2 separate regions of the Mus musculus genome follow, and region 2 is reported to be linked to region 1. The links are microRNA targets in miRTarBase. Many come from high-throughput screens and were not tested one by one. Region 1 holds a microRNA gene; the other region holds the end of a gene's coding sequence.

Region 1 (4,582 bases):
GCACACCATGGGAATGAGGGTGTAGGAAAATGAATTTAAGAACCCAGGATAGCATTTACTCTGTCTCCTTTCTTGAAAAAAAATTTCTGGACTGTGTCTATGATCCAAGTGTGTTCTAGAAGCTGGAAATAATATTATGGAACCAACACCTACTCCCTACTCCGACATGAAAAAAGTTAAAAGTGAGCTTATAGGGTCAGAACCCCCCCTGGAAATATGAATCATATGATATATCTAGAATATAATTCTTATAATTTAATGATAAAAAGACAAACAGCCCAGTTTAGAAGTTGCAAAATATGTGAATTTTTTTTTTTTGTCTGAACAAAGTAGCTGTGCAAATGCAGTAAATAGATGAAAAGGTGCGCAACCTCATTAGCCACCAGGGAGAGGCAAATCAAAACCACAGTGAGGCACCGCTTTGTACCTGCTGGGAGAACTACAATCAAAAAGTCAGGCCATATAGCAAGGCTGTGGAGAAAGGAACCCCCAGACCCTGGCGGAGGAAATGTCAAATGGTGGAGCAGCTTTAGTGGAGAGTGTGAGAGTTCTCTAAAGAGACATGGATGTAATGGAACCCCACCATCTACTCTGAGTTACAGAGTCAAGAGAAATGACAGCATCTATCAGCACAGAGCTGGGAATGGCCCTAGAAGCATTTGTAGTTGAGATAGAGCAGAGGTGGGCTGGAGAGGGGGCTGTGTTTAAAAGCACAGACTGTTCTTGCAGAGGTGCCAAGTTTGCTCCCCAGAACCCATGTTGGTGGCTCACAACAACTTGTAAATCTAGCTCTAGGGGGACTCTGTAGCCTCCTTTGCCACCTGCATTCATGTACACACACACACACACACACACACACACACACACACACTTACACATACTTAAAATAAACAATAAAAAATAAATATTTAGGAAAAGTGGAAATAATATGTATTTACATGGCCTAGAGGTCGGGTATAGAAGTCAGGAGTAAATGTGATTAGCATGTAGTTTAGGGATGATTAAAACATTCTTAGATTAACTATGGTGGCTATCAAACAACTTCATGGTAATATTGAAAGCCATTGAGTTTTATCCTTTATGAGTAGGTAAATTGTATAGTCGTGAGTTCTATTTCAAAGAAACAGTTACAATTATTTAAAAAAAATTACTTGTTGTTGTAGGGGGGTCTTTTGTTCAGAGACTTACTCTATAATGCTAGTTGGTCTGGAACCCATAATGCTACCCAGGATGACCTTGAACTCACAGAAATCCTCCTGCCTTAACCTCAAGAGTGCTAGGGTTACAGGAATGCTCCATTTTGCCGAGCTGTTGTTTATATACTTTCAAAAAAAAGCACTAGCATGGGCTCTGCCCCTGTGAAAATATAGTCTTGTTTGGGAGATAGTATTTATCAACAATGACATCAAAGGCTCTATCAATTAGTTTATAACTATGAAGGGAAGGATTGAACATGACACAGGAGAATGGCAGGTATCACTGGGGAACGGAGACGAGGTATTAGTGAGGCTATTACACTCAATGATTCTAACAGATGCCTAAATAGCAGTGGCTTGAAAAGGGGAAGGTCCTGCTCTTGCTGACGTGAAGAAATACAGTTTCAAAGATCATCTAGTGCCATGCCCTGCCCTATCATGGGTGGTGCATGGCCCACATTGCATGGTGTGGGTGCAGCTGTACTGTGCGCTCTGTCTCCATGTAGAACTGGGTCACTCTAGGAAATGGGGCCTTTGTGCCAGGAGTGTGTGTACACGGTGTGTGGGGGGGAGGGGTGGTGGGTTCGGTGAACACAGAAGAGACACAGGGTGACAATCCAGTCATCTCTGCTATTGATGGTCTTGCTGAGGAGGTGATTCAGTAGGTGAGAGCCTCAGGAGGAATAGGCGTTGAGGGCAGTTTTCCAGGCCAGGGGCACATGTATGAGGGCACAGTGGGGACGGAAAGACCATCTGTCATGTTCCTGATTGCTTTTGAGAAAATCTTGCTACGTACTTCAGGCTGCCCTTGGACCAGCAGTCCTCTTGATGCACCTTCTTCTTCGCTGGGATTATGGGGTGGCCTCAAACTGACATTTCTCCTGCTGCAGGCTCATGAATGTTGAGATTACAGGCTTGCACCACATGCCCAGCATGTTTAATGATTGCTTATGAACTTGCCTATCTTGTGTCCCAGATCCTTATGCATCAAGAGTGTCCAGTCTGCAGAGGCCGTGCTTTTGGATTTATCAGAGATTTCTCTTGTGTTTTTACAGGGCTGGCAGGATCTGGCCTGGGAGGAAGGCCTCATCTGGAGAGTCTGTGTGTATCCCCAGCTCTGAGAACTGAATTCCATGGGTTATATCAATGTCAGACCTGTGAAATTCAGTTCTTCAGCTGGGATAGCTCTGTCATCACGGACCTGAAGAACACTGGTTGGAACAAACTCTGAAGGCCTTCATAGTCTGCCAAGGAACTTGAAGAGTGGAGAGAGTGGGGTGAAGCGTGGAACTGCTGGCACCGGAGGGAGTCATGTTGGATTGATGTGTGTTCTAATTTCATTTCTGTTGCTCTGATAAAATATCTTGACAAAAACAATTTAGGGGAGAAAGGGTTTATTAGATTATAATTCCAGGTCACAGCTGATCATTATAGGGAAGACAAAGTAGGAACTTGAAGCAGCTCGTCTCATACATCGTCAAGAAGAAAAAGAGAGCCAAACATTGTGGCACATACCTTCACTCCAAGAAATTTGGAAGCAGAGGCAGGTGGCTCTCTGGTAGGCCAGCCTGATGTACAGAGCAAGTTCCAGGCTAGCCAGAGCTATATAGTGAGATTGTGTCTCAACAAAGAGGAAAAAAATAGAGAAAAAATATATATGCTTACTTGTACTTGACCCCCTCTCTACACTTAAAGAGTCTAGGATCACCTGCCTAGGGAATGATGCTGCCTACAGTGGGCTTGGATCTTCCTATGCCAATTAATATAATCAATATATCCATCCACAGATATACATAGGTCAACCTGATCGAGATGATCCCTCACTAACACTCTTTCTAAATGATCCAAGATTGTGTCAGGTTGACAGTGCTAAGCAATATAGTATGGCAATTCCTCCTCCGGTTGGGAAAAGCGAAGCATCCTATAAATAGCCTCACTGAGTGGTTCTTGCTGCTGTGACTCTTGTTTACATTTCCATGATTTAGGATGAGTCAGGTATGAAGGGGACTAAGTGCTATGCATGCTGTTATAGGAGACTCATGGGAAACACCACTTTAATGAAGCTTGAGAGACACAGGATTGCCAAGCAGTGATTTCCCAGTCTCTTTATGGGACCAGATGGAATTAATTGTATGTGGCAATTATCCTTTAGCATGGTCTGCTGAGGTGTTTGGCTGCTTTTTCAGATATGTAGCAAAAAAGGATAAAGAACACATCCTTCTTATAGCCCCTCATCCCTTTTATTTGAACCTGTGCTTTCTTGCCTACTTTAAGCAAACAAGGGGTAGAGTGTTCTTTTGTACCTCCAAACAAGACAAAAGAAGTTGTAATTACACTCCACTGTAACTGACAGTTTCTTCCAGGGATGAGGATTAAGAAGCCTTAGAAAGTCTATTTGGACATATAGTCTATTAAATGATGGGGCTCAGGTCCTTGTAGAGAGGCAATAAAGACCTCTGTCACCAAGCATGTTGGGTCTCTTCTGAGAGTTGGGCTTGATTTGCTGCTGCTGATTATCTGGACTTTATTAAGCTTTTGAATTAGTGGGGAATTAGGAATGTGCCCTGTGCTTTGGGAACTCCTCTTTGACTCATCACTACGTCTTGGTGTCCTGGGATTTCCTTCTTACTCTTGTCTCTGAATGAAAAGAGAGGGAGGTAGCATGAGATGGGGGACTGTACAGCACCCACATGCTCAGTCTTTCAACTGAGGAACGTAGGTGTTTACTGTGCATCGACTCCTAAATCCAGGGCTTTGCCTATACGATCTCAGTGAATCTTACCAAGCCTCATCTCCATAATATAGACACATCAACAAAAGGATTTTTTCCCCTGTTATTATGATAAAATGGCCTGGCAAAAATAATGGTTGATTTTGGCTCACAGTTCAAGGGTATTGTTCATCATGGAGGAAGTCATAGCATGAGAAGCTTGAGAGCTGCTGGCCACATGACCTCGGCAGACAAGCCGTGGAGAGCAGCAGATGCGCACAGCTCACTTTCTCCTTTGCATGAAGTCCAGGACACTACCCAGGGAAGGGTGCCACCCTACTTTATGGTGGCTCTTCTTACATCAATTAACTTAATCACCTCACAGGCATCCTCCAGGGGTAACTCGATCTAAATAACCCCTCCTAGGGATAATTGGAGCTATGTCTTCTAGATAATTTCAGATCTTGTCAAGTTGATACCAAAGAGCTATGGTTGTCAAATTAAAAAATCCGAACCAGACTCAATGGGAAATCTTCAGCCATAGTAGCCAGAGAAGCAAATCTATGCCTTGCTCAGTCATTATCAGAGAAGCTTCCTGTTCCAGAAGATGGAAACAAGTAGAGATCCAGAGCCAGAGTATATGCAGAGAATGAGAGACCGCAGAACACTCAACCTT
Region 2 (4,291 bases), not on the chromosome of region 1:
AGGAGACACAGGACAGGAAAAGGAGTTCCTCTCCACATTCCACAATGTGAAAAACTACAACTCTTTTCTTTTCTTATTTATTTATTTATTTATTGGGGCGGGGCTGAGCAATTTAAAACATCAAAGACACAGAGGACCCACAGAGAAATAACTAGCTTAGTCCTTTTTGAGTGACTTCAACGCTTGTGACCGAGAGTGTCCCAAGTTCAGGTTGATCACATCTGGTTTCATTTTTCTGGATTCTGGGAATTGGGAAGCATCCATCCATTTCCCAGACAATCACATCAACTTTGAAACAAATGACAGTTACCCTGAGAATGCCGACATTTAAAGAGTATTTCAACAGACAATCAAACGACGCTTGACCGTGCCCTGTTCACTCCCTCAAGGCAGCCAGCAAACTAATCACCAAACACCCCATAAAAAACTGTAACAATGGCGAGAATTTGAGTCAAGTCAAGAAAAGATGTGTGTTAACGACAGAAAAAGAGAGAAAAGCACTTCAAAGTCTTAAGTAAGAATCACCTCGATAGTTAAAGTTAAAACGTTTTCCAGTCACATGCGAAAGAAGGAAACTCCAGGTAAAGCAGAAACAAGCAACCTCTCCTTAAGGAGAAGATATTCTAATTGTGCACATAATTTACATTGGTCAGACTTTGTTTGATATTGGTACAAATTCAACTTTATACTGGTCACAAAATTTACTTGTTGGAGATCATCCAACACCTGTCAGTTGATCTTCCGAGGGTGAGAGGACACCTTTTGTACTTTAATGCACTTTTCTCCTCTTCATTCTCCAGAAGAAAGCAGAATGGCTAGAGATGGTAACAGCCAAAGGACTGTAACCAACTTCCAAACTAGAACTGCCGTCTGGCCTGATTTCTAAGAGGGAAATATATGACTTGGGGAAAAATCTTCAATAGTAAGGTAGGCATTTTTCTAAGAAGAAACAACTTTAAATTCAGCAGTGTTCTAGATTGGTAAGGAAAGATGGCCAATGCACTCTGGACTATACGGATTCTTATAGGCCCATTGGTACAAAGAGAATGTTCAGAAAGTGGTGAAGTAAAGAAAGCGGCTTTCTAGGCTAAGACTTGATCCTGAGTTGACCTTACTAAGTGTTGACCTTGAATGTCAGCTTGATTAGTTTTACTCTGCATTCGTGGCAATTGAGTAACATAAAGTAACTGGTTGGCTTATTACAAACACCAAATGCTGCAAGTTCTAAAACTACCTGAGGTGTATTCTAGCGGATGGACATTACACTGCAGTGAACCATCCGTGTTAGCAGTTAGGGGCAGTCACACCTCTACGGGGAAAGCCTTTTAGTGAGTATTGTGGCTCAGCACTGGGCTTCTCAATGCGGATACTAGAAACACCTAGTCCAACTTGCCCTATAGGGAGGACAATTTAAAGCTGGGAACAGTTTAACTTATGCAAAAAAACTTTAAAAGATGTTAGAGTTTTTTTTAAAAAAAGTCAAAACCACGGCAGGAAACGACTGCTCTTCCTAATACAGATATTTTAAAAAGAGAAATCTGATGAGGAAGTTCTTAAATGTCATTTCCTTTTTCAAAAAACGGAGAGGGGGTTGGGGAGTTCATATTTTTGTGGTGACATATAACATAAAAAAATTAAGAAAGGCATATAGAAAATAAGTCTTCAAATAGTTGAGTAATCTTCTTCAGGCAATTTCTAAATAAATATAGACACAGCTACTGCTTGCTTTAAAGAAACAACAAACAAGCCCACATTTATTACTCCACTGGGAAACAACTACAGTATAAGACCATGCAGTGCTCCTTAGGCAGAAGTTGCTACAAGCAGCTCAGGGCTGCTGGAGGCACAGCTAAGGGACACACATTTCCTGGATCCAACAGAAGAGACCTGTGATGAGCTTGTGATAATGGTAGGGGACAAGGTCTTCCCCTCACCTTTATAGGGGAAGGATGGAAGCAGGGGAAAATGAAGAGGTCAAAGTGGCCCTGGCTGGCTACAGCTGAGAAACAGACTCCTTGGTGGAGGCTCTGAGCGTTCTCTGGGAACAGGGCAGGTCAGAGCACTGCTCGGGTCTCTGATTCAGCTGAAGGCACGGATGCCTTTCTTACCACCAGAACACATAGCTGATCTTGTGTAAACAGCAGGAGAGGATCCCCTCTGCTTCCTTACAAAGGCTCTAACTAGTCGTAGGGCTCCCTGAGAACTAGACTCCAAAGTACTGTATATGTACAGGACATTAACAAATACACAGCAGCACGACAGTCACCTCTCCACATTAGGGTCACAGATCAGAACCTCTACTGAGCTGGACAAAGCCACCACTCAAGCTGAGTGTCCACACAACCGTGATAGCCAACCTTGGTTTAGGCATCTCTCAGGTACCTACAATTTCCCAAGTTCCAATAAATTCTGTTTTGAGGAAATCAATTTATTTATTTATTTGTTTGTTTAATTTTATGTGCACTGGTGTTTTGCCTGCATGAGTGTCTGTATGAGGGTGTCAGATGCCCTGGAACTGGAGTTACAGACTGGGGATCCTCTGGAAGAGCAGCCAAGGCTCTTAACCACTGAGCCAATTCTCCAACCCCTTGAGAAAAATCAATTTTATTTCAATTAACCTTATAAGCTAAATCAAAAGCTAGTTAAGAGGGGCTGAAGTTTCCTGGCTGTAAGAGTTGCTGTCATCATCCACGAGATGCCATTTAATGGCTAGTGAGCTAAATCACTCGTTTGGGCTGGTGATTTTGTGTTTGCAAGCAACAGAAGATATGCAACCGGCTGTGGAAACCAAGCTGCACGGGACAGACAAGAAAGGTTCCATGGCAGTAACACTCAGCAGTTGGCAAGCACATGACCGCGGTCTTACAGACTGGGAAGAGGCCGCCTGGAGCATATTTCAAAACAGGAAAGTAGTGGGGGATGCTTGGTGTTCAGTGGACAATACATTCACACTAAGTAAGGGTTAAACCAGTCCCTGGATCCTTAGTGAACTATAGAGGAGGGAGTACTTGAGAACTTAAGCCTTCCAGGGATCATGGTTCAAAGCCTCTGAAATTCACAGGAGTCAACTAAATGAGAACTCAACACCAGAGCGGTAACTTCTCTACTGGCACCAGCACAGGCAGTGGTGATTTTCATGTTTAATATAGTAATCAGTGTCCTAAAAACCCCTCAAGTTTTTAAGGCACCGGTCTTATTAAACGATTGAGCTGCAGCACGCTAAGTCTGGCCTTTTTTACAGTAAAGTACACGGACAAAATAGCCCATGGAAGCACAGTGAAGGGGTACCCTGACAGACAGATGAGCCACAGGCCCTTCAAATGTTGACGTTTTGAAGATACAGGGGACATGTAGGTTCCCATGGGAACTGCCTCAGGTATTTGTTAACAGTAAGAAGTGGCTCGTGACCTCACTGATGACATCTGCTGCTAGGCCTTACACCTCTCCCACTGCTTGTTTGAACATTGTTTACTGGGGCCAGGCATGGAAGGCACGGTTTTCCCATATGGTTCCTAGTTTTTGAACACAAGTACATGGACGCTACACCCCCGCATCAGTACTTCGTGGCTGGAAACCCTCCTTCCGAAGGCCACCCATGTCAAAGCGGGTAGAGACTTCACAGCGCACTAGTAATGTATCATCCTTAATGAAGGTTCCCTGTCTTAAGGCTTCCAGGTGCATAAATGTTACATAGCCAAAACCTTTGGGGTTCCGTGGGATTGTGGGTCGCTGAAAGGCAAGCAGTTCTGGTTTGGCGTCCATGACCTCTTCGTGGTTTTGCCTTATAAGTGCTTCAGACTGGTCGAGAATTGTAAGGCGTATTGTACCCTGGAAGGGCCAGGGGAGGTGGCTGTCATATTCTCCTTGCATTGTGTGGACAAAAAGGGATATATAGTTTGCACAGCGCTGAGCTGTCGGTAACTGAAGATGCAGGCGCATGCACAGCTTGTACCCAGGTCTGCCTGTGTAGAATCCAGGGCTATGGATGACAACAGGTCTTTCCTCTTCTTGGGATTTCAAGTGCATCCCAAAGTTGCCAATCTTCCAAATGTAGATCCCGTTACACTGCTGTGCTTCCATTTCGGCAACCTTGTCCTCCAGGGTCCGAATGGTCCGTTTGAGCTCGCCCACGTACATACTCTGAGTTTCCATTTTGGCAGTCAGCTCCCGGATCTGATGGTCCTGTCTTACTAGGCGACTCTCCAACTGTTTGATAGTTTCCTCATAATTTGGGTCCTCTGGACGACATCCCCGGGATGGAGAGGCGGCATCGCACGGACGCAAAGCAAGG

Evidence for each region. The annotated mature microRNA mmu-miR-146a-5p reads UGAGAACUGAAUUCCAUGGGUU and lies in region 1 at 2,315-2,336, shown strand. An mRNA with a match to its seed (bases 2 to 7 or 8) in the 3' UTR can be bound and repressed. Matches are read on the target gene's strand: a 7mer-m8 pairs with bases 2 to 8, a 7mer-A1 pairs with bases 2 to 7 and ends in A, and an 8mer does both.
Region 2: miRTarBase lists Traf6 as a target of mmu-miR-146a-5p. Seed matches in the 3' UTR shown: 8mer at 3,074-3,081, 8mer at 3,010-3,017 and 8mer at 2,198-2,205.

What each region holds. Positions count from the first base shown.
Region 1 is chr11:43,372,189-43,376,770 of GRCm38, reverse strand. It overlaps Mir146 (microRNA 146), which reads left to right and starts at 2,310; the gene lies at 2,310-2,374.
Region 2 is chr2:101,696,749-101,701,039 of GRCm38, reverse strand. It overlaps Traf6 (TNF receptor-associated factor 6), which reads right to left. Exons shown (of 7, transcript NM_001303273.1): 7 at 1-4,291. The coding sequence ends at 3,541. Among named protein-coding and RNA genes, the nearest start is that of Traf6, 20 kb to the right of the region's middle.